4 linked regions of the Mytilus edulis genome follow. The protein of the gene in region 3 purifies or fractionates together with the protein of the main gene of each other region. This does not show direct contact. Links are inferred from orthologs where the notes say so. Each region holds a gene or a part of one and is shown on either strand. Other genes may lie near its edges.

What was found.
Region 1: the proteins of exportin-1-like (region 3) and nucleoporin 88-like purify together in Homo sapiens (affinity purification with mass spectrometry; 3 studies listed by BioGRID and IntAct, with this or other methods). This does not show direct contact. The link is inferred for Mytilus edulis from reciprocal best matches to the Homo sapiens genes XPO1 and NUP88.
Region 2: the proteins of exportin-1-like (region 3) and histone deacetylase 3-like purify together in Homo sapiens (affinity purification with western blotting; 3 studies listed by BioGRID, with this or other methods). This does not show direct contact. The link is inferred for Mytilus edulis from reciprocal best matches to the Homo sapiens genes XPO1 and HDAC3.
Region 4: the proteins of exportin-1-like (region 3) and nuclear pore glycoprotein p62-like purify together in Homo sapiens (affinity purification with western blotting; 4 studies listed by BioGRID and IntAct, with this or other methods). This does not show direct contact. The link is inferred for Mytilus edulis from reciprocal best matches to the Homo sapiens genes XPO1 and NUP62.

What each region holds. Positions count from the first base shown.
Region 1 is NC_092349.1:12,622,306-12,629,504, reverse strand, and holds the start of nucleoporin 88-like, read left to right. Parts: upstream 1-4,198; 5' UTR 4,199-4,217; coding exon 4,218-4,448; intron 4,449-6,219; coding exon 6,220-6,389; intron 6,390-6,864; coding exon 6,865-6,990; intron 6,991-7,199. Other genes in the region: homeobox protein cut-like 1, read right to left, coding at 3,919-3,981. UniProt on the Homo sapiens protein: Component of nuclear pore complex.
Region 2 is NC_092344.1:34,970,747-34,978,644, forward strand, and holds the start of histone deacetylase 3-like, read left to right. Parts: upstream 1-4,886; 5' UTR 4,887-4,936; coding exon 4,937-4,994; intron 4,995-7,898. UniProt on the Homo sapiens protein: Histone deacetylase that catalyzes the deacetylation of lysine residues on the N-terminal part of the core histones (H2A, H2B, H3 and H4), and some other non-histone substrates.
Region 3 is NC_092346.1:57,078,433-57,085,644, reverse strand, and holds the start of exportin-1-like, read left to right. Parts: upstream 1-4,205; 5' UTR 4,206-4,313; intron 4,314-7,212. UniProt on the Homo sapiens protein: Mediates the nuclear export of cellular proteins (cargos) bearing a leucine-rich nuclear export signal (NES) and of RNAs.
Region 4 is NC_092344.1:96,295,710-96,303,274, reverse strand, and holds the start of nuclear pore glycoprotein p62-like, read right to left. Parts: upstream 3,017-7,565; 5' UTR 2,918-3,016; exon of another isoform or gene 2,524-2,917; intron 98-2,523; coding exon of another isoform or gene 1-97. Other genes in the region: uncharacterized protein, read left to right, coding at 1-97; small ribosomal subunit protein bS21m-like, read left to right, coding at 3,040-3,128, 5,972-6,149. UniProt on the Homo sapiens protein: Essential component of the nuclear pore complex. The N-terminal is probably involved in nucleocytoplasmic transport.

The sequences.
Region 1 (7,199 bases), on a different chromosome or scaffold from region 3:
AGAAGAGGTTATACCCAATAAAGTCAACTAAATAAATTATCAAAACAAATCTAAACCTTGACTAGCTTTAAGAACTGGTAGAACATGTAAAATAATCATTCAAAAATATATGTCACTCATTCCCTTAAGTATTTAAAGAACCTCAAAATAGAATATACATTGCTGCAATGTGAATATGATTTAGGGAAATCTAATAAGAATTATACCAAAAAATATTATATACTTATCCTATTTCATTAGCGAAACAATTATGAAATTTACGAGATTTGAAGTAATTGATAATTTCGAGGCCGTGAGATAAATATACAAGTATGTAATTTCTTCATCCCTTGATGTACAACAAATAGTCAAATAACCTGAGAATTACAATAAATTTTATCCACTTAGTAAATCTGATTAAAAACAGAATAAATTTCCCTCCAGATAGAGAATATTTATAAAAATCAATATCTAGGTTGTGCTTGATCAATCCATCGGCAGAAAATTTTAGCTTGTTTTATTATTTGTCGCTGAACGTAAAAAATCAATGATTGTATTTCAATCAATTTGGTATAACTTAATTTAGGAATCTTCACTAAATCATGTTGTTCAGTATTAGGAGTATTTTTACAACTGATCAATATTTACATTGTTATAAAAGCAATGATCATTGATTTTAAGACAAGAAATGAGATATTATAAACTTCTTTGTCTCCGCTGGGATTACCTACATGTACAATTATACTTGATCATTTATCCTGTTTTATTTTAAATCTGATTTCTATTTTCGATCATACCTTTCATCTATCAGCTGTTCCAAAAACTTTTGGTGAAGGATGAGGGGCACTTTAATTGAATATAGGTGGTTGCATTTTCTTTTTGAATTTTGTCAGACTTATTAAATTAAATGTGTTACACTATTGGTGGTTGATGTCTTTAGAAAGTGTCTCCTATGCACTCTATGTGTAAAGCTTTGAAATACAAACAAGACACTCTTATCATGTTGTATTGTGTTGTGTGGTTACTTTCGACATGTTCGATGATGATGGGGGTTTTGAACGACCTTGACTGGCTAAAAAGCCCTGGCATGGTCAGTTGTATCACTGTCTTTTAAATTCAATTCAGAGTCTTTTATTTGAATTATTTCAAAACACAAACAAAATGTATTTCTATTTCATTGGTGTAACATAGTCTCATAGATGTATATACCCAACTCTTTTTATTCCTATAAAGACCTTATAATATATATAATAATATAAAGTCATAAGAGTTTAACAATTTTATTCAGATTTAGCCTAATCAATCTATTGTAACAAAAAACATATAAATCTATGTAACTAAATCAAAATATTAATTTTCAAAATAATGGCCTGTGGTTTTCCTTAAAAAGATAGATTAGTGCATACCAGTAACCAGGGGAGTTCAGGGGGTTCAAATAATGACTGTTAAAGTCAACGTTCTGTTCGAGTTGTGACTGTTAAAGTCGAGTTTTTTAGGCCCCTTTGGAAATTCCTGGCTACGGGCCTGTTAGTGCATGGCTAAATCCACCACTATGATATGAAATTTGATTGAAATTTAAAGCCATGAATCTGAAAATTTCACTATGATTTATGTATTGTTTTTCTTTGATTTTCTCATTTTTAAAACATTGTACAGTACAAATACAAATTGTAAGATGATTTACTTACAACTTTGTAACAATTATATCATATAAATGACAAAAGAAAAGAAGTATGTGGGTCAGTGTTCATGAAGGAGTAACCACCAGACAAAATATTTTCCCCCTTACATCTCATCATTATTCAAACTGGATGCACATACATTTGATTTTAAAAAAAATGTAAACATGGGAGATAACTCAATAATAAATGCCTAAAGTATTTTTAATTACTTTTTAATATAAACAATTTTTCAAAACCTTATTATATATTTCATGTATTTGCAAATGCACTTACAAGCATATTTTTTTTCTTTTCAAATCCATAATCAAAGAAAACAATTAATTTATGAAAAGAACAACTCAAAAAGTATAAAATGTATATTGGATTAAAGTTTTTTTTTTGGTGTGTTGGGGGGGGGGGGGGTATCTTGAGAAAGGGTTGCACAGGGGTGTTAACAATAGATTTCCAAAAAATAATATAATTAGATAGAAAACTGAAAAAAAGCAATAAAACAGTTTCAATATTTTTAAGTTGGGAAAACAAGGCCAAGGGTACATAAAAAGGATGTTGATCTTTATTAATTTTCTGTTAGAGTTGCAGTAGATGATCCTGAACTTACAATAAGGGGCCCAATGAAAATATAAATACAATGAGAAAAGTGTACTTATAACACATTTGGTTAAACATTAAAGTCCTCTCCTGGATCCATCTATTATACTTTTTAACAGGAAATAACTTTGTGAGTTATAAGTGATTTTTATACTGTGCAATGACAATTCATAGCTCCTTAGAACTTTTATCTTATACATTAGCATAGATGCCAACCCCCTTTTGACACAATCAGTAACAAACTATCAAATTTTCCGTATTTTTGAAAAGTTTTCAGTAATCATTCATAAACGTGCATTTACCAATAAAAATTACTGACGAGTGGTTGCAAAGTAATGTACACTAAAATTTGTCATTTAACATGTTGTCTGTAGTATGTATTCCATTCATTAATTGTTCAGATGTTCTCGACTCAAACATTTTTGTTTTGTCAAGGAGAAGTAGAGAAAGCGGGAAAGCTACTTAATAAAATGCAAGTTTGCCTCTTCGGAAGTCAGTTAGTTACCCAACAATAGGTTGATAACTCCCAAGAAACCGGAAGCATTACATTGGCGTTTCCTAAATACTGGACCAGGACGGAAAAGTAATGATAAAAATCCGCGTTTTACAAAATTGAACGTCGATGATTGGGAATCCATAACTATTCGACTTTGACCGTAATAGCGTAGTTTTTATCGCAAAATCGGAAAAACTACGGAAAAATCGTAATGGTTGGCATCTATGCATTAGACAAATGAAACCCAAAACTATTTTTGTGTTATTGTTTTTGTTTTGTTTTGTATAAATTTACTCCATGTATCAACTTAATCCTTGTATGTTTAATTATTATGTATTCTTCTCTGTACCTTTGCTAATTGTTTTTTTAGAGAATAAAATACATATCTATTAATTTCTATTTATTTGTTGCAGCACTGATTAACTCCAAAGATTGTACATGTATTTGTCTTTTCATTCATAGAAAACAAAGCAAAACTTTTACATATATATCATGCACATGCAACTCCTTTTATTTCTCTCTATATATAAATAAAAATGTTTGTTTATCAAAAAAATAGAAATATAAGGTATTTATAAATTTACCAAACATAAATCTTTATTGTCCTGTTAATGGTACACTATGCCCAATCATGATATGAATGATAAAAGTCTTCTGAAAGATAATTTATACTCACCTAATATCTGTCTTAGTGGTGTATTGGAAATGATCAAAACATGACAATGAATATAACTGTTTATTTTAATGAAGTTATCACAGGTGACATTAAACAATACTGGGACTAATCTGGTTACCAAATTTGTAATACACAAGCTAATGACTTCCAATACACATGTATCAGTTGTGGATGCTGAGAAGACTAAGTCATAAAACTTTTCAAACTTTCACTGAAGCGTAAAGAGTTTGTTACACTGTTTAAAACTTTGGAATTTATAATAAACTTGTCATTTAAAACTTTATTATCAGCTGCTGTTTCGGTACTGACACAAAGAAATACACTAATCAGTCAGCCATATTGATTTTTTAGATAATACACATTTTATTGATGATATTGGGAAATTGGAAAACAGCTGACATTTTGTTACTGCATTATTTTTGATTGGGGTTTGAATAATACATGAAACCTCCGTCACCTTAAGATATGATAAATAATGTTAATGAAGATGGACATACCTGTAGTTCCTGTAAATCAAACTCTTTCCAATATTGTACCATTGACTGCAAGCTCGCAGCCATCTTGAACGGGATTAAGCCCAATCAATTGATCACATGACCCACTTAGAATCGAAAATAATCTCAAAACTGTTTACATTTTAATTTCTAGAAACAAAAGTTGTCAACATTCATGATTAAACTATTTTTAACAAATACATATTTATGATCATAAAAAGGTAGTTTATTATCGTTGATAGCATTTCTTTGTAGAAATGAAACCGATATTTTCTTCTGTTCCGAGGCTTTACACAGGGAAAATGGCGGGTGTTGACAGTTGGCGCACATGTTTAAATAACCAGAAATTTGTCAAAAATCTTGCAGAAAACAATTCTAAAGACTCAAAACAAAAACTTAGAAATTTAGCTAAAAGTTTATTTGTTGTATATGACAGCGATTTATATGTATGGGACTCGTACGCATGTCACATTGTCTATTTTAATCTGAAGCAGTTGCTTTTGGAAGATAAGGAAAAACAAGAAAGATTTCAGGTATAAAATGCATCTATCTGACAGTTATCGTGCATGCAAACCGTGAATAAATGAGTTGTCACTTAAAAACAAGGGATATTGGGATGTTTACTTGTTTTAATTTGGCATATGTTATTATTTGTTGTCCTTTTATGAAAATGAAAGTAGAAAACGAAAGTAGATTTTTTTGTTTATAAACTTCTATACAATAAAGAAGACAACTGATTGGCTTCTGTGTTTTTATACTTGGGATGAATATAATAAGTAAGTTATACAAAACATCATTTATATTTTTCATCATTCACTTTCACACAATACAAATTGTTTCCTGGTACTTTTGTCTTCCTCATATGTAATTTCTCATACATGTAATACTTAATAATTGTAATGGTGGAAGATCAAGATCTCTAGACGGCTTGCCAGTTCTTGGAATCAACTTATTTATACTTTGTTATAAAAATGAGAATGGAAATGGGGAATGTTAAAGACGCAACAACCCGACCATAGAACAGACAACAGCAGAAGGTCATCCACTTTTCTTCACACATTCTGGCCATTTAATTGCATTATTGGTCAGCATCTGTTGTAGATTCAGATTCAATATTTTATTAAAGTCTCACTCTATGTGTTGTATAAATTTCATTGCAAATGATGCCTGTACTTACTTGCTACTAATTAGATAAACAGCCTCTAAGATTTGGAACTCACATCCCTAAAGGTATTTTAAGGTCTTTCTTTCTGCAACAGAAAGCAAGACCGAGTCCTGGGTTTGAATGACATAGAAATTTTATATGTTCATGCTAATGTCAAAGAATTACTGAAATAAATATGGGATGAGACTTATTGCCTATATGGTTTGCTTTCTTGCATCTCATATTGAAGAAATAAAGTTTTTCAAACCCAAGTAAATTCAAGTCAAGAAAACTCGGGTCAATTCAAACCCAATATCCCCAAGCCAATCTGGTCCAATATTTTTATTCTAAAATTGCTCTGAATGTATGGATGTATGGATAGAGTTCTATTTACTTAAGTTATTGGCCTCATTGGGTTTGGACTGGAATAACATGATTTTAAAATTCAAAGCATGGTGGTAAAAAAGGTTATTGTGATAGTGCTATTTTCAATCCCTGTGCCATGCTTAAACATATTTTGGTAGAGACAGTAGAAAGGTACAAGTACATGATGCAGGTAAGCCTTTCCTTTTTCTTTTCTTTTTGGGAAAGGGAAATTGAAATGTCAGATGTTTGTTTAGTCCTGTGACATGCCTATCTGATTAGAAAAAAACTTCTTCAAAACAGGACAATAATGATTTTGAGTAGGCAGCTGTTTTCTTGGTAGGCAGGTTAAGAGCAAACAAACATATTCTTTTTTATGCCCCACCTACGATAGTAGAAGGGCATTATGTTTTCTGGTCTGTGCATTCGTTCATCCTACCGTTCGTCCGTCCGTCCGTCTATCTCGCTTCAGGTTAAGGTTTTTGGTCAAGGTAGTTTGATGAAGTTGAAGTCCAATGGACTTCAAACTTAGTATACATGTTCCCTATGATATAACCTTTTTAATTTTAATGCCAAATTAGAGGGTTTACCCCAAATTCACGGTCCACTGAACATAGAAAATGATAGTGCGAGTGGGGCATTCGTGTACTGGGGACACATTCTTATTTTTTAATGGCCCTGGCTAGTGTAAATTTACTTTTTAAATTTAAAAGATTAAAGGCTTTTAGACACTCTTGTCTACTTGACCTATGTACATCTAAATGAACTAAAAATGATTTGTTGAATTCTATTTACAGACACTGTTATGTACTGATGCACCAAGGTTTGATGTGGAATGTTTGATTTTCAACAGAACTGGGAATTATCTAGCAGTATGGGGTCAGACTGGTATTACTGTGATAGAGTTGCCACGGAGATGGGGAAAATACAATGATTATGAAGGTGGAAAGCAGTGTGTTCAGTGCAAGTAGGTCAAAAGAGAAACACCAGTGGTTTATAACAACAGTAACAGAGTTTGTAATACCCCTATTTTGAAGGAGGGGTATACTTGTAAACCTCCATCTGTCCTTCTCATAACATAATTTACATTTATTTGCAGTTTTCGCAATCAAGCTTTCGTAAGCGTTATTCTTATTATCAAGGTTCTTACATTTTTTTACATTTATAAACTTCCTTTTTACTAAATACTTATATACTCTAACATATGATTAGCATGAAATTTATTCATGAATTACAAATCAGAGCCTCCTGAAATCTGGTTGCCAGCTTCAAAACTGACCAATAATCATGCAATGATATAACAAAGCTGGCCTTGTCATAGCAAATTGAAATTTGAATAAAAACCAATAGACTTTAGTGACTTGCTATTGTTTTTCCTTACACATATTTAAAATATTTGTGTATTATATATATATATTATATTAAAACTTGTTTATTTGCAGATCTTTGAATGTTGCTGAGCATTATTTTGCTGGCCATAATGGAGTACGTCTGCTAACAGTATTGTGGCACCCTGGGAGTGAGACGGACAGCCATATTGCTTTTCTGACATCAGACAACACATTAAGGTTTATTGATGGACTTCTTTCTCATTCATAATTTAAAACATAGCGTAACCTGCCTAATCTGACACCTGAGTATTCCAACAACCTGCTATAACCGGTGCATTTTCATGGTCCCAAAATATGTCTATCCTTGCAGATAAATACCTGTCAGTGAGTATTCTGACACCCTGCTTAATCTGATATTTTGTTCAGGTCACCCAGTGTGTCGGATT
Region 2 (7,898 bases), on a different chromosome or scaffold from region 3:
CACACTCTGCTCACACATTAGTTGCATTGTAATGATTATCAAAACAATAACGGTAAATAGACAAGTAAATAGTAAAAATGTTCAATAAATATTTTATGAATAAAATCTCAACAATAATTAATTAAATTTATTCAAAAACATTCACTAGAGACAGAGACATATAATTTTATAGGAGTTTAATTCAATGAATACAAAACGGTATATGCATATTCATTTTCGTTCATTATTATATTGTGGTTAATAACTACGACCATTCGTCAGCTGTGCGCTTTTAATTACGTATATTGTCGATAAGCTATAAGAGTTAAACAGATTTTATTTTTTCCCAGAATTCAATAAATCGGGCTAATACGTCACGACCCACTCGAGAATTCAACAAAAAAAGTTACAAATACTTGATTTTCTCCGTTATTAGAAGGAATATAAATTTAAAACTTTGCAAATGTGTTTTTTATGTTAAGATGAACATAATTAGATGATAAGTAAAAAATCGCGGAATTTCCCTTTAATGTACATGAACACTAAAAATGTCACATTAAGTATATATATGATAAGTCATCAATTAAAAAAAACCAACATAATTATTGTAGTGGTCATTTTTTTTTTAAATTTTTTTAAATATTGCTTTATGTAGTTTAAAAGCTATCTATTCATGAATTTTACAGATATATCAAAATGTGGGATCTGGAAACAAACTTCACACAGCTTATATCAATCATATTTGATTTTATAAGTACATGATCCCTGTGATGAGAGTTGTAACTGGGAACTTAATCAATGAATAATTAAAACTGAATAGATTTTTCAGTCCTCACTTTCTTGAGAATACTGTCACAAAAAATTGAGAATGGTCTTAGCCTGCCGTTCAGTTGTACATAATTAAAATTCTAAAATATATTGTAGTAGTTGTTAAATTCAATTGAATTTTAGATAATTAACTCCCAACTTTAATCAAATGTTTTGATTTAGAAGGTGCAGATCTCATTGGTCCAAATTGTCTCTATGATGAATTCTTGACTAAGGAAATGAAATAACAATAAACAACAATTAGTTTCATTATTGTATTAACATCGTGACATCATACTCTTTCTAATCCTTTCTGTATATCCTTTCCAAATAACAACATTTATACCTGTGTACGCTTGAACTCACACCTGCGGCTAAATAGCTACAAGGTAAACGAATTGACCTCAAGCCGAGAATATACAGTGACCTATACAAAATAATATAAACACTCTGCTCACACATTAGTTGCATTGAAATGATTATCAAAACAATAACGGTAAATAGAACTGAAATATTTTCAGTTCAATATCAGTAAAAATGTTCAATAAATATTTTATGAAAAAAATCTCAACAATAATTAATTAAATTTATTCAAAAACATTTACTAGAGATAATTTTATAGGAGTTTAATTCAATCAATACAAAACGGTATATGCATATTCATGTTCGTTCATTCTTATATTGTGGTTAATAACTTCGACCATTCGTCAGCTGTGCGCTTTTAATTACGTATATTGTCGATAAGCTATAAGAGTTAAACAGATTTTATTTTTTCCCAGAATTCAATAAATCGGGCTAATACGTCACGACCCACTCGAGAATTCAACCCAAAAATGTATCGTCAAAAACATATTAGTAAAAAATTACCGAACTCCAATTAAATTAAAAATGGTGAAGCCCATAAAACCTGACGACATCAAACGTTAGTATTTATCACCATTGGAACGATTTGGAAAACAACTATTTTATTTCTGATTTTCGTTAACAAACAGTGGGTAAAATCTGGTTTTATAGCTAGATAAACCAACCTCTTGGCTGGCAACTCGTATTACAGTTGTTAATAGTTCGGTTATATTTACGTGTCAGTTTGGTCTCTTGTGGACAGTTGTTTCATTGGCAATCATACCACATCTTCTTTTTTTATGAGTAACTAAAACAGACATAATTGGTTAACATGACAATAATTGGGATCCAGCATCAAACACTGCGTAAACATTCACCACAGACAAATAGCACAACTGACAACAATAAATCAACACTGTGTAAACATTCACCACAGACAAACAACACAACTGACAACAATAAATCAACACTGTGTAAACGTTCACCACAGACAAACAACACAACTAAAAACAATAAATCAACACTGTGTAAACATTCACCACAGACAAACAACACAACTAAAAACAATAAATCAACACTGTGTAAACATTCACCACAGACAAACAACACAACTGACAACAATAAATAAACACTGTGTAAACATTCACCACAGACAAACAACACAACTGTCATCAATAAATCATCACTGTGTAAACATTCACCACAGACAAACAACACTACTGTCATCAATAAATCATCACTGTGTAAACATTCACCACAGACAAACAACACTACTGACAACAATAAATCAACACTGTGTAAACATTCACCACAGATAAACAACACAACTGACAACAATAAATCAACACTGTGTAAACATTCACCACAGACAAACAACACAACTGACAACAATAAATCAACACTGTATAAACATTCACCACAGGCAAACAACACAACTGACAACAATTAATTAAACAAACATAAAAAAAATCTAAAATGAGACGCCAACAAAAAAAGTTGATATAACTGATAGTATTAAATCTGACAAAGACGCCAACAAAATAATTGTGTGTAGTTGATAGTACATATATTAAATGTGTAGTTGATAGTACATATATTAAAACTTCATGTCGTTCTAGTATGAGTCACATTCTCGAAGAAGTACAAATTAAGTTAAACCAATAAAAGGATAAACAAAATGACTAACTAACATGACTAATGCCGAAACCTTGACTGGAAATTATTGTCCACTAGTAGTGGTATCGACAGTGTAGATCTATGTAAAACGTTTTGTGTTTGAATATGTTCTTTTGTTCTTTTTTTCTTGGATATTAAGATAACATCCAATAACATACATATTTCGAAGACTAAACAAGTGTGGGCACAGATCAGTGTGGATTGTGTTTGGATGGTTGACAGTGTTTTCTGACAAAAAGAGTTCTATGGTTCTAAGACCAAAATATCAATCAGTGCACATCCAAATTCTAATGGAATCAGTGTTAATAAAACGTCATTAAATCTATATTTTTGTTTCAGGACAAACTAATCTATTTTGGCTAAAGCTGGGACTTTTATACCACCAATATATTATCACCCAGGTCATAGATGTCCATGGATACAAAATTAAACTAATATTAAAATTCAAAAACTCAAAATCTTGTAATAAATTGTCTTCAAAAGTGACATGTTGAATACTATTTTATTTTAAAACATTACGTGAATTGTTGATTTTTTAAAAACAAATCATGTAAACTCTTCAATATCCAAATAGACAATTTTGTAACATTGGCTATCGGATAAAAGAGAATGAAGGGTGGTGGCAAAATTATATTGTCTGGGGTCTCTTGCAGAAGCAACAAATGAAAAACATCAAAATGGTTGAGAACTTTATACTTTTAATCAATACAGCTACCAAAGTGCAGTTCGTGTTATACTTGATAAAACCAAGCCGACCAACTCTACAACAAAGAAGTCGTGCATCAGTCACAATATTTGACAAAATTTAGAATCAACTAGTTTCAATCTAAAACACGCATTATCTGTCACCTTGTGGGTATCAATTTATACAATCATTATATTCAACACACTTCCTTACTCTTTGAGGCTTTTTGTAATGCTTTATTGACGGTCCCGATTCCGTCGTAATAGCATGACCATATAAGAAAGAGATCATGCATATCTAGTTTATGAAAATTCACAGAAAAAATCCCCAAAAAACGTAGCATGAAAAAGGTCACAGGAAAACTTGCCTCAGTAGATAAAGTTAAAATGATAAAGAATCAAAAGAGAATAGTAATTCTATTTTAAGTTTTTATGTTAGCTTTATATTGAAATCATGCAATGGTATTTAAAAAGAGACATCTTTATTTTTTAATTCAACATTTTCCTTTCTTTTTATACAATGCCGTATTTTTACCACTTAGACAAACCAATAGATAAAAGATAATTCATAAGTTGAACAAACATTTAACTTCAAAAGTGTGGGGAGGGGGGTCAGATACTATTATTTTTATCTGAGTCAGAAATATTTGTTTTAGTTTCTCGACACTACACATATTTTTTTTTTATTTTCCACTCTATGGTGTGGAGAAAATCTGAATTCAGAATATTTTTCTTTGTCATCTGCTTGACAACAATATTTTGTTTCATCAAATCAGAGGGGATCAGAAAAACTTCTTTTTTTTATAGTTAAATGGTCGTTTCTAACTCACAACCATTGAAATTAGACAAAATATTGACCACCAGTGTCTATCCGTATAGTCAACTTAACTCAGTTCGCAGCCGTCTGTCAGCTATTCTACTGAAACATGCATAATCTGTTTTAATGACATGGCCTTTTTTAAGGCAGTGGCTATTTTGCCGGCTCTGATTAAAATGTCTTAATGCAAGCCGACAATTTAAAATAGCCTATTTCTATAGAATTTCAAGTGCTATTTTACCGGAAACAGCAATATAGTGAAAATGTTGCTTAGCTCATGTAGGTTAATATATATATGCTTAGCTGTCGCAAGGATTTGTATAGTTAGATATGTACAAATCCTTGGCTGTCGTAAATACCGTAATGTTTTTTTCCAAAATAATTATATCGATTTTTTTTTATCTACCTGCTCATTGGTAAAATTAAATAGTCTACTTATAAAAATCCTTTTTACATAGTCTTAAGTTACTTAACTCTACAAACCCTCCGTAAAATTAGCCTCATGTCAAATAATTCTTGTACGTGGTTGTCTATGTTACGACGTTACTCTTCGGTAATGAGTCAAATCAAATGCTAACCTCTTTGGTAAAGAAGATAAATAAATGATATGTAGAAAAAGAAGAATGCAAAATGTCAAACCCAAATATTGCATATTTTTACGACCCAGATGTCGGCAATTTTCATTATGGTACGATTAATGCACACCCTAAGTATAGGCTTTATTGCAAAAATGGGTTTGGTGAAAATTATGGCCATCTTCCCATTGTTATTTATGAATCCGGGTCCGTCCGCCCTGATTTCGGTTCGCCCTAGTTACTGTTCGCCCTAGTTCCGTTTCGCCCTGAGACCGTTCGCCCTGATACCTGTTCGTCCTGATTTTTATTTTTTTATTTTAAGGCGTATTTGTTACAGAAAAACTGGTTTTAGTTTAAGGTTTTGGTTGGTAAGCGGAAGAAGGGATCCCGTAGACCGCCCTACGTCACGATTCGTGAATTATGCATATTCTATTTATAGGCTATTTTAAAACGATTCGGTAAATACTAATGCTAAAAATAGAATTTTCTTAACATGTAAAACTATCTTCAAAAAAAAACGATGCAAAATCATTAACTTTCATGGAGAGTGGTAAAGGGTTATTTTCGTGGAACGTGATCGCGTTTTTTTATTTCACGTTCAACGTGTTTTTACTTTTTTATTACACGTTCAGTCGTGCAAAACAGCTAGGTGTTCAACTTGTTCTTCTTATGTAATTTTTATACGTGCTTCGTGATTCAAATGCTTATTTTGCGTGCTCAGTATTTTTCAAAAAAAAAAAAAAAAAATCAAACACCAGACAGGGATCGTCAACATGGTCAGGAACGAAATTGATTTATGTTTAAACATATTTATTTATAGTGGATTGGGAAACAAGTTTTGCAACTTATATTAGTCCCTTTCCACTTTGCGGCTGTGAGTTCTGCCTTGTAGCGTAAGCATAAGCCTACTCTTTTTCGAAATCTACAAGGGTGTCTTTAACGTGCAAGAGATATGGCTCTCTCTTAACACGGGTCAGCCATTTATCGTCCCCTTCCGACGGACTATCATCGTTTCCTCAAGACCATACTCGCAAATGGTGTCGAGGGAGAGCCGAAAATTGAGTTCCTGAAAAATTTCATCCCAAACGGGAATCGAACCAGGAACCTTAAGTGTTATTAGTCCGATGCACTAACCAAAACACCACGGCTCTCTACAAATTGATTTAATTTTGTTTCCGTGAAATGATAAGGCGGCAAGGCCAATGATGTTCCTTTATTTGCATTTTAAAAGTTCAGAATATCTTTATATACTTTTTTAAAAGCTGTAAATCATTTATATCATAAATGTGTACACACTAAATAGGGAATGTTAAGTAAAACAGAGAGTTCATATATACAAGAGGACAGTGACTCAGTCACAAAAGGTTCACCTTCAAGTCTTTATTTTTTGTGCAACGTTCATGACAGAAATTATTTCACGTTCAACGTGAAATGGTGTCTTAAATAGGAAAATGTTCCGCATTACAGTAGCATATATCATTGTGCCCTCATTAAGCAAATACATATTCCTTTTAAGATATATATGATATTTCACATATATATGACACACAGTAGTGGTGCCTTAATTATGTTGTAAAGACTTGCAAATGTCCCATGCACGTGATCCCATGGCTTTGAATATACTATGGAGTTAATAATATTTTTATTATCTGCTTAATAGAGTACTTTGATGTAGGCAAATTGAAAAAAAACATGTAGCTTACACGTTCTTAGACATGAGACATTTCCTTTACGGGGTGTGAGGGGGTGGTGGTAGTGGTGGTGGGGTGGGGTGCTGGTCTTCGTTTCCCCTGTTAATTGTTTATAATGAAGCTACATGTTCTATTAGGGCGTTCTACAGGATCTTCTGGGCGGTCTACATGATCCCCTGTTGTCTGAACCTTATATTTTTACTATAGAACGTTCTTTAGGATCTCCCATATTGTTTGTTTATCATGTATATACCAAAGGACGTTCTACAGGATCACCTGGGCAGTCTATAGGATCCCCTGTTGTATGAACATTATATATAAACTATAGAACGTTCTATAGGATACTCTATTGTTTGTTAATCAAATATATACTAAAGGATGTTTTACAGGATCCTTTGGGCGGTCTTCAGGATCCCTTGTTGTCTGAACATTATATATCTACTAAAGGACGTTCTATAAGACCCCCTGTTGATTGTTTTTCATGTTTATACTATAGGGCGTTCTACAGGATCCCCTGTTGTCTTTACATTATATATCTACTATAGGACGTTCTACAGGATCCCCTGGGCGGTCTACAGGATCCCCTGTTGTCTTTACATTTTATATCTACTATAGGACGTTCTATAGGATCCCCTATATTGTTTGTTTATTATTTATATACTAAGGGCGTTATACCGGATCCCCTGGGCGGCCTACAGAATCCCCTTTTGTTAAAAAAAATATGCATCTGAGATAGGAAATTTAATAGGTTCCCTGTTCTTTGTTTATTACGTATATATTATAGGGCGTTTATGATCCCTTGGGCGGTCTGCAGGAGCCCCTGTTTTCTCAACATTATATATATATCATAGGACGTTATTTAGGATCCCCTATTGTTTGTTAATCATGTATATACTAAAGGGCGTTCTACAGGATCCCTTGGGCAGTCTACGGGATACCTGTTGTCTTTACATTATATATATACTATAGGACGTTCGTAAGACCCCCTGTTGATTGTTTTCATGTTTATACTATAGGGTTTTCTATATGATCCCTTGGGCGGTCTGCAGGAAACTATGGGTGGTCTGCAGGAATCTCTGTTTTTCAAAATAATATATGTACTATAGGATGTTCTATAAGACCCCCTGTTGATTGTTTTTCATATTATAATATAAGGCGTTCTAAAGGATCACCTGTTTTCTCAACGTTATTTATCTACTATAAGACGTTCTATAGGATCCCCTATTGTTTGTTAATCAAGTATATACTAAAGGGCGTTCTACAGGATCCCCTGGACGGTCTTCAGGATCCCCTGTTGTCTTTACATTATATATATACTAAATGGCG
Region 3 (7,212 bases):
AGCGTATTTGGTATATGGAATGATTGTATTTCCAGTTTGATTTATACTACAAGCTGGATTTATACAGACTTTCAAGGAAGACCATTAAAGAAAATATAATTCGTTCAAACATCAGGCCAACAATGTAAAGAGCTGTAAATTTTCTTTCGCAACTTGTTTTTCCTCGCCGGAATTCCAACTCATGCTACGAAGATATCGTGGCACCAAATCGCCTTGCACTATGCCTGACGCACTGGACCACAGTGCACTCGACCACCTAGGCTCTAAAATAATAAAGTTTTCGGTGGCCAGATGTTTCCTTTCCTCGTCTGTTTTTATCTGGCGTCATAACACAGTACATGATAATCATATATAAGGCATGAAGATGGAATTTTTGCAGATCAGCTGAATGATCTATCCTGAAGAATCTTACAAACTAATGCAGGATGCAGTCACAAAAATAATTATATTATAAGTACGTCTAAACTAGTGACAACTCTGCGGAAGATTTTATACAACTGATCACCAGCAGTGATGGTGATACAAGGCTGAAAATACATTCTGTATAGATAAATCGTCTAAACATCAGTCCAACAATGATAAATCTGTAATATGCTTTCGCTAAATTTTTGTTCTTGCCTCGCCAGGATTCAAACTTATACTACTGAGATATCTTGGCAACAAATCGCCTTGCACTGTGCCCGACGCTCTAGACCACTCGACCAACTATGCTCTACCATGAATAATAAAGCTTTCGGTGGCCGGGCGTTACCATTCCTCGTCAGTTTTTATCTAGCATCGTAACACAGTACATGATAAATAAGGCATGAAGATGGAATCTTTACAGATCAGCTGAATTATCGTAAAGGATCTTACAAAATAATGCAGGATGCAGTCATAGAAATAAGTATATTACAAGTACGTCTGAACCAGTGGCAACTCTACAACAGATTTATCCATCGGATCACCAGCTGTGATGGTGATACAAGGCTGAAAATACATTTTGCATATATAATTCGTCGAAACACCAACCCAGCAATGTTAGATCTTTTAATTTGCTTTCGCAAATTTGTTTTTCTTCCCTCGCCGGGATTCGAACTCATTCTATCGTGGCACCAAATCGCCGTGCACTGTGCCCGACGCGCTAGAGCACTCGACCACCTGGAGCAAGGATGAAGAACTTATACAACTTTATATGATGTCTTTTCTGTTATACATATAGTGTCATATTGCAACCGTTTGCTTTAATTACTATTTTTTAATACTAGTAATATGATTTATTTTCACGTGTGTTATTGTTCTCATATATCGGAATGTTACAGTCACTATAAATGGTTTATTTGTGTTTCCACGTTTCCACTCGGCTTCTTCTTTTCGAAATATTAAAGAAAATCTAAATTAAAAGTATGATTTCTTCAATTCCACTGAAGCACCAACTTAGCGCATGTGGAATTATGTTGATCAAAGATGAAAACAATCACGAGTCTGATAAACATAAAACTTGCAGCAGGAAGAATTCCATCTATGAAAATTCATAAACAACTTTTAAAACAAAAGTCATTGAAGTTCGGCAGCAGCGTAGATACAATTGACGATAGAAACAATTGAGTGCGAGAGAGATTAAAAGCGGGGTCATTTCACCCTGACCCCGTATTTTACTGTCAGTTAGATAATTTTATCATGACAAATTGTATTCCTCTTTTCAAGAAAGACTATTAAAGAAAAGTGATGCACTGGGACTGATCTGTTTAACTTCCGGTATATGATGGGATCAAAGTAAAATGACAGCAATCCAAAAGTAACCCGTACTATACCTTAAGAAATACATCAGATTTAACAAAAAGTGCAAAGTGTAATGACATTCATGACATCAATCCAAAAGTAACCCGAACTATACCTTAAGAAATACATCAAATTCAACAAAAAGTGCAAAGTATAATGACAGCAATCTAAAGGTAACCCGAACTATACCTGAAGTAATGCATTAGATTCAACAAAAGGTGCAAGTTCAAGGTAATAGTAAAATGTCTTTCAAATTATCTTTATATCGGAGAATTTTCAAAAGAAGACATGATGAGAAACAACAACTTGAAACATTTATTCATTTAGACACATGGTAAACTGTGGACGCTTTCCCCTTTTACTAGATTTATAAAAAAAAAACTGTGATACTGCAATTTATAATCTCTACCCAATTCGAGTTTCAGAGCTAAGCCTCGTAATTAAGGATAGATTTAAAAAATTTAATCACAGAAACAGACATGAAAAAATCTGGCCAATATTATACAGAAACAAAAGTGTTCTAACGTCCTGAGTTAAGGAATGCTATGTCACGGTTCGAAACGACAGTCAATAATCATTACAAAATGTTATTATTAAACCTTATAGTGATCTTGGGTAAATTGCATTCAACTCGTCCGTTTGTATGTCTCAGGGGCGGGGTTCCCAACCAGGGACAAAGGGTCCCGGGTTCCAACTATATGTGCCTATTCAAATGCATTGATCGTCAAAAAAAAGGGGGGTTCCAACCCCCGGAACCCTCCCCCTGGATCCGCCAATGTGTCTGTCCGTTCGTCTATTATATACAATTCTAAAGAAAATGAGACAGAACACAGGAACTGTTGAGAAACAGAAAACTTCACAACACAAATAAGTGCTTCATCATCAGAGCTTCCCAGTTGGGAAAAGGGGTGTCGCCTCAGATCAGAGTGCTGCTCTAAACGTGTTGGGACATTTTCTGCGACCCACAGACCTGCCATCAGAATAGAAGGGCATCAAATTAAACTTGTGTTATCTTAATATCGGAAAGCAAGAACACATTAAATCATTGAAGTGAAAATTGGTAAGAATATTTACTAACAAGAACTATCTTTAAAAAAAGATATCCGACGTATTTAAATTTGAGTATATGTTTAAAACTATCATTTTGATAACCCTCAGAAGCACAAAGATACCATTTAAATAACGTTTTCTCTGTTTGTGTTTAGTATTCTCAGTCATCGTATCTTTCTGTTTACATTCACCATGTTCACCAAAACCCCGCGGAAATCTCACATGCGTAGGTGCGTTCTAAAAGTCATGCCGGTACGTTCGTACAACAAAGTTTACATTAAAAATTATATAATTGTCCCGAATAAACAGCTGTCACGGATGGAAAGAGCTATTTGAGAAACAATTATTTTAATAAAAATATAAATCTTTGTAAGATCTAGTTCAAATATTTACAGTTTTTCACTTGCTTTCCATCACGATATAATTAACGAGACGTTTTTTCAAAAACAACCAAATCACCCACCATGACAGCATTTTGTCCAATCACAAAAAGGATTTTCGAGCATGCGTATTCTGTTGCCACAGTTAAGCGTCCTTAAGTTCAAAGGACACACACCGAAACTATACCGACTACGTCGGAAAAAAGCAAGACAAATATTTAGAAAAAGAGTACATTTCAGAATGACAGTCGTCTGTTAATTCTGATTCAAAAGTAGTTGCTCGGATAGAAAAAAAAACGCTACTGTTATACTGTACATTCTACTTTTTGACACTGTTTTAAAACAATTATATCTTTAATACCGTGATGAAGTCTATGATATTATCAAGTTAAAAGTCAGTAATAATCTCATTTATTTTTTTATATTTCAACAAATTTGTAGTACTTGATTGTCCATTATAAGTCTTACTAGAATTTACAAATCTGTCTCAAATATGATCGAAACTTGGCTTAGATAAAAGAACTGAGACAGCAATCGTCAGTCTAGCTTTTTACAAAAGCTATTACTTGCATTTTGATTGAGTGACCGATTTTTGAAATCGAAAGTAAAAGTAGGTCAAATATTGCGTTTGGGAAACTATATTTGATTGGATAAATGATAAAAATTTTCCATTTGAAAATATCACCGTATTTTGCCCAAAAGTGGGAACAAGAAATTTCTTTTATAGTTATCAACTGTCTAAATGTTTTAAATATATATCTATCGACTTTCAAAAATGTGTTATTTCTTAATTAAAAGTAAAATGTATTTTATCCCTGCGAGAGTACAAACCAATCAAAAAGTTGCTAACAAAATATGTGTTTACGTTAATTAATGAGTTAATGAAGTTTTTACTTTGCAACTAAAAATTTATTTAGTCATAATTATTTCTTATATACTATTGAATAATTGCCAGTTTACTATTATTTCGTTATTTTTATCGAAATATTTGTCTAAACTTAAATTACGGATTTTACCGAGAACCAATCTGAATGGCGGTTCTTTGCCAGTTTCAACCGGTTAGTCAATTTTTGATGCTTTCTCACAAGAAGTTGGGTTTGGCCAGAAGAAGAATTAGAAGAGGTAAAATTGGTTTTTAGGGGAAGTTTTTGTATTTCGTTGTTTCATTGTCATGTTCTGAACATTGTCATAGTTTCGTTAAACACGTTTGAAATTTCTCTCATGGAGGCAGCCATATTTGAAGATACAAACAAAAACAAACGGAAGCCTGCTTAGTCATGTGATTCGGGACGTAAAATTCAAACTGTTCAGCGGCAGTGTGGTGGAAAATTCCACTATCATTATGCTCATAAAATTAAGTTAAATGATAATTTTCGTGATTAAAAGTTAATTTCTGAAAATAAAGAAATGATATTATTCAAATTGTTTTCTTATTAGCATAGTTTTTCTTCATCCAAAAAGTTTTCTATTTATGCCTATGGACATGGGTCATTTTCAAAAAATGTCGAATTTTCAGTACACCCATGCTAATTTTTTTTATTTCTAATGGAAATTTCGGTTGAAATGGCTCTAATGAAAGCTTGACGGGTTTGTGATTCAGATCATTAATAATAAACACACCTTACATCTATTTTGATAAGATTAAACTGCATTTAAGTCCGATTTTGGGGGTATTTGTGTGCGTACAGTGTCGGAAAACCACATTTTAAATGATTTATTTCTGATTTTCTGATCGCCTTGATAATTGCAAAAGGAACTTTTAAAGAACGTTAATTATCACTCTAACGAAAAAATAGTAGCTTCTTTATCATTGTATGTAACATATTATCCACAAACTAAATTCAATCAGCATACAGGAGGTTCATGTCTATCCTGTTACCGCTACTTAAATCAGTCAATAAATTATTCTCCCTATGAATATTGAATCAGTCGGTGTTGATTTCAAAAGTGCAAAGTAATCTTTACATTTAAATAGCCTCGTTTCGTGAACGACAGTGTAGAGAAAAGATATTTCAAGACATTTAGTGAAAAAAAAAGAGAACTTTTTTTCATGTCTATGCTGTTACCAACAATTTTGATTAACTACACCAAAAGTATGCTTTTAAAAAGTGCAATAATGTGTTGGTAACCAAATTCACAATAGAAAACCATAATCACTTCACTAAAGGGAGTAGTCATTTCACAACAGCAATCAAAAACGAAGAAATTTGTCTATCCTGTTACTGTGGTTGCTATGGTTACAGTAACAGGATAGACAAAACGTCGTTATTTTTTTATCTTAACATATACATGATATAGGTGCAAAACAAAAGAAATATTTCGTTGTTTGAACTCATCTTAAGTTTATAAAGACGTCTTTATCTTCCCAATTAAGCATTTGCAGGTGCAATATTTATATGGTTAACAGGATAGACCTTTATATAGTGATATATCAGAAACGTACGTTCCTGTTACCAATGAAATAAAGAGAAAAGTAAACTTACTTATGAGGAATTTACCTGATGTTGGGTTTATTTAAAAGAGTGAAAAAATGCTGAACAATATAAATTGCTATCTTAGACTTGCATTACTGGTGGTAATTTTTACAACCTTTGAAAACCAATTTTTAGAGGTATTTTTCAGTACAACCTGGAAAATTGGCAAATAATCTATTATTTTACAGCAGTGGCTGATCCAGGGGGGGGGGTTCCGGGGGTGCACACCCCCCCTTTAGTTTTGCCGATCAATGCATTTGTATCGGGACATATGTTTTGCACCCCCCCTTTGCCCTGGGTGCCCTGGGTTAGCACCCCCCCCCCCCCCCCCCCTTTCGAAAATTCCTGCATCCCCCCCTGTTACAGAATGAATATATATATATAGAAGTTTATTCTCTTGAAAACCATCTAATTGGCTACATAAAACAAGCTTAACATTTTATCTAAACCTTTTCTTAATAACCTAAAATTTCTTTTGAAAATTGTAACAGGATAGACAAAATATTGTACCACCGATCACAAATGTTTCAAGATATTCTTGTTTGACATTAAGATTGCATCTTTTAATATGTTGTTCTTAAAGTACTGTTTGTTTTGATTTGCTTATGTAGTGGGTTGTTTTTAAAAATAACTTCAATGTACAATGTATTAATAAATTTTTCAATTTCAAAATTCATCATTTTTTGAAAATGACCCACGTAAGTACAGGGTTTTTCATAGCTTTTTCTTTCAATCCCTCTTGGGATAATCCATTCATCATCAACAGTCACGTCTCAGTCATTACAGCTGAACAGACGTGCTGGGCCAGCTCTCCTTTACCTGCTATCTTCGATGAGGGTTTACTTTTAGATGATCAACGACTTACTACTTTATTAAATTAGAGAAATTAGATATAATCCTAATAAACTTAATCATCCTTAGAATGAATTGTTCCTATTGTTTTCTGCTTCACGCTCACAGGCTGATTCATTAAAAGAATGATGACTGCCACAGGCTGAATTTCTGCTGAGTTTTTATAAAAACATAAATTTTCTGCTTATGTGAACTACAGGAGTGGCTACGCAGACAAGAACTTGGCCATATTTAAACATCACATAATACATGCAAGGCCAAAGTGGAATTACTCTCTGGATGTCATGTTTTGTTAGCGCTCTCACATGTACCATTCATGCCAACTTTTTATGAAACTTATATCTTGGGTTCAAATTAGCAATTTATGCCCCTAAAAATGTTTATTCTGTAGAAAATATAAATGTTATCACTCTAATGTGTTTGTTCAATTCTTGCCAGAAATTTCAAAGTTTAAATCAGAAATGTATTTGTAAATACATTTCGGATCAAATGTTTTTACTGAGTGATGCCCCTTGGAAATCTAAGTTTGTTTGCTCTGAAGCCTAAGTTTTACAGAATAATGAAAGTGCTTTTTGTTGTTTTTGCCCTGGTACCTAGGATAGATAAAATATGTACAACAGTGATATAGGAACAAGTGTTCTTTTATTCCACTGGAAAAATTAATCCATATAAACTGAACACTGTTTACACTTTGA
Region 4 (7,565 bases), on a different chromosome or scaffold from region 3:
TGATTCAAGTGACAACACTATTACTTCAACCAGAAAAGCAAAAACTGATGCCAAGGAGAAAATCAAAAGTTGGATTCAACCGTTCCGTAAAGCATAGAGACTGTTTAAGTGTTAAAAGTTAAAGTTTTATTTCATTTGAGAGACAATAGTTATTTCATTTTAAAGTTTTTTCTTTATTTATTGCTTAAATTTTCATTCGCGGCCCCCCAGGATGTTCAGGACTGTGTTCATTAGACGTTCGCGGTACCGCTATGTATGTATAGTAACGTCATGCTACTTATGACGTTGAGATTTATGTGCAAATGGAGTTTAGAATCAATACAAGTAAAACCAGCTAGTATTTCTTATTTGTGCCTAAAAAGTCTGATTATACCACTCTAAGATAACCACTATATATTGCTTAACATCTTCTAATTTTTTTTCTGATCTATCCTTTTTATGGATAGCAGGCCATAATCTAGCCAGCAAAATGGTGATTTTAGTCGCCAAAGAATTTTGAGAATTGTTAAATCTTGCCGATTGACTGATATCATAGCATCTGATTCTCATTTCTGTCTTTAAAAATTCCAGGTTATTTCGGTAAAACAATTGTTGCAGTATAAGATAATAAAAGAAAGCCCCCATAAGTATGACCACCTAGACAATCATCAGTTAGGATCACTATTTATATAAGGGATAAACCCTTTATTGATGTAATATCATTTATCAAATAGTAAAAATTGGATGTTATAAATAATATTCTGGTGCATTACATGAAAGATTTTTCAATTAAAGAATGCATTTGTACATGTAACATTGTATTTTCAAATTTCTAAAATGATTCCTCAAGGTAATGACAATGAATTACCAAGAAATCTTCAAATAATTAATTTATTTTGGGATCATACAAGATCATGTCACCTTGTTATATTGATTTATAATTTTGCTGCATGTGAATCATAATGATAAACTGCTAATTATCAACAGGTAAAGTAAAGTGCTTGCTTTAAATGATGACATGCATATTAGATACTATTTTGGTTATTTTCATAATTACTTACATGTACCTGTCGTTTCAGGGTTATCTTTAGAATTTTTTTAAGGGTTTTATAGAGTAATAGGGAAGTTTTAAATTCATGTACCGGTATGTGTTTATCCAGGACTTCTATCTTTTGTATCGATACAGACAGATGAATAACACCCTTGAAGTAATCAATTAGATGAAAATATAGGGTTAAGTGTTGTTTTTACAAATAACACATGTATATTTTGCTTCAGAAGTAATTGTCTTTGATGGTATGGATGGAAGCAGGACAAATCGCCCATCTTGCTAATCGCCCCACATCAAATCGCCCCACACCAAATCTCCCCATTGTTTACAAACTCGCCCCACTTTTAAAAAAATCAACCCAAACTGATTTACAAACTGGTCCCACTTGTGAAAAGGGTTAAATCCCGTTAATTGCCCCACTTAATGCAAAAAGATAAAACCTAGATTTTCATTGACTTAATTCATAAGGACTTTTCTATTTTTCATAAGTGGGGCAAACTGACAAGCCTCTATTTATCAGGATTTGTATTTTTCCCAAGTGAAAATTGGCATTCACGTCACAGAAATACTGATACTCTCTTCTTTCTGATTTATTTCAACAAAAAGAAAAGAACTAGAACATAGATATAAGAAGATGTGGTACATGTATGAGTGCCAATGAGACAACACTCAATCCAAGTCACAATTTGTAAAAGAAAAACCATAAAAGGGGAAAGTACAGTCTTCAACACAGAGCATTGGCTCAAACCGAACAGTAAGCTATAAAGGGCCCCAAAATGACTTGTGCAAAACCATTTAAACAGGAAAAACATGACGTTTATCTATAAGACTTTTTGATATGGGATGAGCTCTGACGTCCCACGGCCCCAGCTTGTCTGGCAAAACAGGCGTTGGACGTCAGAGTAATCTCGACTATAGACAATTAAAATATTAGCTATAAAAGTACAAGTGACATATACTTCAACGTGTTCCCGAAGTCACGGTGTCAATAATGGGATACAGTTCAAAATTTGATTACCAGATTGATTATTCAGTGGTCTCATGGTCAGTGAGGGCAGTCGGGGTCAATACAAAGACCACGACAATCCTCACTGAACAAAGGGACCATGACTCAAACTGGTCTCTTGGTATCTGTGGGAATTTCATATATAATATTTTGTTTCTTTTATTAACCCCAATGTAGGTGACAGAAGTATGCGACAGTCTTTTTTTCTGGCGCATACATATTTTTGGCAATTTTTCATTAAATAATTGACACCGGGCTATCGGGAAGCAGTATATAATCTCTATCTTCAGCGATGGACATTAAGATTCATTTATACACTTGTGTATATTTATTAGCAACTACTACCTTATATATCAAAGCAATCAACTATGTAATTAGCAATGCAACGAAACAAAAGCAAGAACGACAAAATAAACATTTTTTTACAAAAGTAAAACCACAATACATTAAAGACTTTGAAAAAAAACCTCACAACTTAAGAACTCACGTGTAGTAAACAAAACACGAAACACTAAGACTTTTTTTTTCTTTTTTCTCCAAAAAACAATCACGATAAGTGTAAATAGGGCGCAAGTTCCATATCAGGAAAGTCGCCTCCCAAAATATCAATATAATAATAAATTTCAACGTGTTGAAGGTGGTCATTACAATGTATAAGTAGAAGAATACTAATTAAAAACAAATAGCAAGTGGCAAACAGAAAGATAATTTGTTCCTCGTCTAAAAAAAATGTTTTAAATAAATTATGTGTAGTGAAAAATCCTCAAAATCGCAGGGGACGAAGACGTATGTTCATTCATTGTATTCCAACTCTTTTCTACACTTTTAAATTAAAAGCCTTCCTTTTCTGTAAAGGAAAGCAAAACATGCTATTTTCATACTTTCTTTTTGATTTGGCTCGAAATCTTAATCGGTGTACAAATGTTCTTACATTTCTAATGCAAATCGCGTTACTTTAAACGCATAAGTGACCATAGAACAAGGGAGACCATTCATTGACAAAATGTCATGCCATAGAAATGCAAAATTCTTGGCAAGAACCGTTTTTGTTCACAAAAATAACGTAGAACAAGCCCACAATGCATTGATGAGGTATTATATTATAATTACTTACATGGTCTTTTTTTTTAAAGATTGACAATCATAAATCGTAGTACGTCCTTGAGAAATGTATCTTCGGGTATGATTCCAGGTATTTTCAAATGGGTCCCTTTTCTATCAAAATTGGGAATTTTCACCCAAATTGGGAAATTATTTCCGTATAAAATTTATGATAAAATAACATTATTTTCCTTTTAAAACAGAAAATGTTTCAAGTTTTACCTGTTTCATAATCATGATGGTAATGACCCAATGGATAAACTATTTACAATACACCTTATCGCTATTTTTCCGCCATTGCTGGATATCACACAGGTTCCCGTAAAATTTTGACATCATAAAACAAATATCTGACGCCACAATGGAAAAGTGATTGTTGTATGCGTCAAAAGTTCAAGCGGCCGGGTCAGCCGGGATTAGCGATAAGGTATATACATGGTACATGTAGTAAATTACAAACATTATATGTGAATAAAACATTAAAGGTATAATGAAAATCTATTGCAATAGATAATTACTAGTAAGAAAGAGGAAGATAGTTAATTAAGTGCCGTATATTAGTGATATATTATAAAGTATAAGATTTATTTTATTTTTATCGCACAATGTGGTTATATTTTTTCCTGTAATTTTGAACATTTTTAATACAAAAGTCTCTCTAATACTGGAGTAACCTCTGCAGTGTAGCAGCATGTGCTGTTCATGATCTATCATTAAATTTATTAACCTTGCAGCTTGCCTCTAATTTATTGATAGTAAAAGCTAAAAAAGCTCTATTCAAAATACAGAAATCTCTAAGTCTTAACAATTCATGTAGAATTTTAGAAAAACTTTTTGATACAATGGTACTCCCAATTTTATTACATGAATATCATGTATATGGAAGTGAAGTTTGGGATATTGAATCAAATTTTAAAAATACTGAGAATCAACCATATGAAAAGTTACAAAATGTACATATAAAATTTATGAACATGAACATAAGGTGTCTTATACAATATATCATGGTCCAAATAGGCACCTAGGTATAACCAGATGCTCTACAGGGCGTAGCTTTATACGACAGCAGAGGTCGAAACCCTGAACAGTTGGGGCAAGTATGGACACAACATTCAAGCTTGATACAGTTCTGAATTTGGATTGTGATTAAATAGTTGATACAACATAGGTTTCTGACACAGAATGAATGTGGTCTAAGAGAAACTTAAAAACTTAAATTTTTTAAATTGGACATTTACCTATTATGGTCCAATATCCAAAATCTGAAAACATGGTTAGATTCAGCATATCAAAGAACCCCAAGAATTCAATTTTGGACCCTTTAGACCTCAATGTGTACCAATTTGATAAACTGGCCCAAATATTAAACATCTAAATACATGGTTAGATTCAGCTTATTGAAGAACCCCATATATTCAATTTTTGTTGAAATCAAACAAGATTAATTTTGGACCCCGATTTGGAACAACTTGAAAACTGGGCCCATAATAAAAAAAATCTATGTACATGTTTAGATTCAGCATATCAAAGAATCCCAACAATTCAATTTTTGTGAAAAATCTAAATAAGTTTTATTTTGGACCCTTTGGACCTTAATGTAGACCAATTTGAAAACGGGACCAAAAAATAAGAATCTAAATACATGGTTAGATTTGGCATATATCAAAGAACCCCAATAATTTTTGATGAAATCAAACACAAAGTTAATTTTGGACCCTTTTGGCCCCTAATTCCTAAACTGTTGGGACCAAAACTACCAAAATCAATTCCAACCTTTTGTGGTCATAAACCTTGTGTTTAAATTTCATAGATTTCTATTTACTTATACTAAAGTTATTGTTCAAAAAACAAGAAAATGCTTATTTGGGCCCCTAATTTCTAAACTGTTGGGACCAAAACTCCCAAAATCAATCCCAATCTTCCTTTTGTGGTCATAAACCTTGTGTTTAAATTTCATAGATTTCTATTTACTTATACTAAAGTTATAGTGCGAAAACCAAATGTCTTCAGACGACGACGCCAAAGTCATACCAATATATGACCAAAATTTTTTTTAATTTTTGCGGTCGTATAAAAATGTTGCGGATAATATGATCAGAGTGACATATCAAACATCTGCCCTTCAATAACTTCAAATTAGCACAAAACCAGGAATATTAGTTTCAAAGAAAAACAACCAGAAACTTAGAACAGCCACACGAATATATTTGGGATTTAGCACTATTTTTATTTAGATAAGATGATTCCTTTTACTTTATAGTTTTGATCACTGGAAAGTTTATCTGTACACAACAGAAGTTTAAATAATTAATGTTAAAGAAAATGCGTCATTCTGAAAGTATAATGTTCTTTCAAGTACTCTATAAAAATTTAATCCCAAAATAAAAAAAAGTAGAACTCTATTTTCTAAGATTTGAATTTGAATTTCAAGCAAGAATTCATTATTATGTTTGGATCACATATACATGGTATCAGACAGTGATGGACTGATGGTATGATCAATTAAAGTTACTAACAGGCTATTATCTATGTATACCAGAATGGTGCCATCCAAGCAGGGTAATGCTCATTGTTGAATGCTGTACTGTTACCGTTAGTTGTTAATTTCTGTATCATTTTGTCTCTTGTGCAGAGTTGTCTCATTGGCAATCATACCACATTTTCTTCTTTTTTATATAAACAAATACCAAACCTTGACAAATGTATTATGTGAGTATATAAACCTGTTAATAACTTAGACTAGTTATGTAAGTGCAAATTACTTGAATAAATATTCTATAATTTCAATTTTAAACTAGTCTCTGTAATAAAAATTTAAACACTTTTTTTTCCAGATTTATGAGAAATGATGGAATTGTTGACCAAGTTAGGAGAAAGAAATATTATGAAAAACCAACCACAATGAGGAGACGTATTAGTTATGAAAGATGCAAGAGGATATACAATGCTGACATGCAAAGAAAAATAGAATTTGTGATGAAAGTCAACAGAGAAAGTCCATGGATAGGATGATGAATATTAAAATACATTATGTGTATTCTGCTCCTCATAAGTGACATACTTCCAAAACATTTTTTCAGATGGAATGTAAATTATATAGAAAATAAACAGTTGTGACAAATAAAGTTCATCATTTGCATAATATTTAAAAAAAAAATCCCCCCCTCCTCCAACAGTCTGTACTGAGAGATTTATTATACAAAGATTGGATTGGTTGATGGAAATCAGCTTGTCTGTCTGTTTGTTTGTCCAGACCAACTTCTATGACCTTTGATTCACTTCTAACTTTTTAGAATAATTTATTATGATATGCAAAAACAATGTATCAACAGGTAAAAGATTGTCAATTCTGTTTAGTTTCCCTAGAATTATGCCCCTTTTCAGACAGAAAATTGGCATAGCAACTCCTGCATGGTTTATTATGTCTACATGAAAACTAATTATTTGTTAGATCTTTATATCATGTATATAGAGATGTGCATGTGGGTAGTATTTTCCTATCCATTGAGGTTTTTAGGAGTTATGGCCCTTTCAACTTTTTCCCCTGACATTACGATTGCAACACCACCAACAGGTATATGTATAATAATATCTACACATAACTTGTTATATTGTTAAATCTTTATATACTTATGATGGTAGGATGCTCTGTCTATTTAGTTTTTCTAGAGATGTCTCTTTGCAATGACAATATTTTGACCCAGTCCATTACCTATAAACTCAACAACTTTTCCATCATGGTTTATAATATCTACATGGAAATGGATACATTATTAGATCTTAATGTGTAGATGTGCATGTGGTTAAGATCTCATTCTCTTCCCTACAATGATGGTTCTTATATCTATATGAAACTTTGTATATGGTTAGATCTGGACATACAATATGGATGTATGTAGGATATGAGTGCATCTACGACATCAAATTAAACTCTGCTAAAAAGTCTAAGTTAATATTACTAAGATCTTTGATTTAGAGTATTTCAGTTACTAGCATATTACAATTTGATTCAGGGATAGGGTATGGTAGTAGACCAGCTAAATGGACAGTAAAAGTTATGTTTTGTTCACGAGCAGCTGAGCCGTAGTCATCCCTATTCCATTCTGTAAGTGAGGTTTTCTCATCACTTGGCATCTGTCGTCGTCTGTTAATTTTTTTCTTGCCTGTGACTGGGATACATAGATTGCCTGTGACTGGGAGACATAGATTGCCTGTGACTGGGAGACATAGATTGCCTGTGACTGGGAGACATAGATTGCCTGTGACTGGGAGACATAGATTGCCTGTGACTGGGAGACATAGATTGCCTGTGACTGGGAGACATAGAGACTACAATTTACAATCTTACGATGGCAGCATTAACCAATTGTATTTAGCTTTATATTTTAGAAGGTTGAAGACCTGGAGGTGTCATACTTTGTATACAGA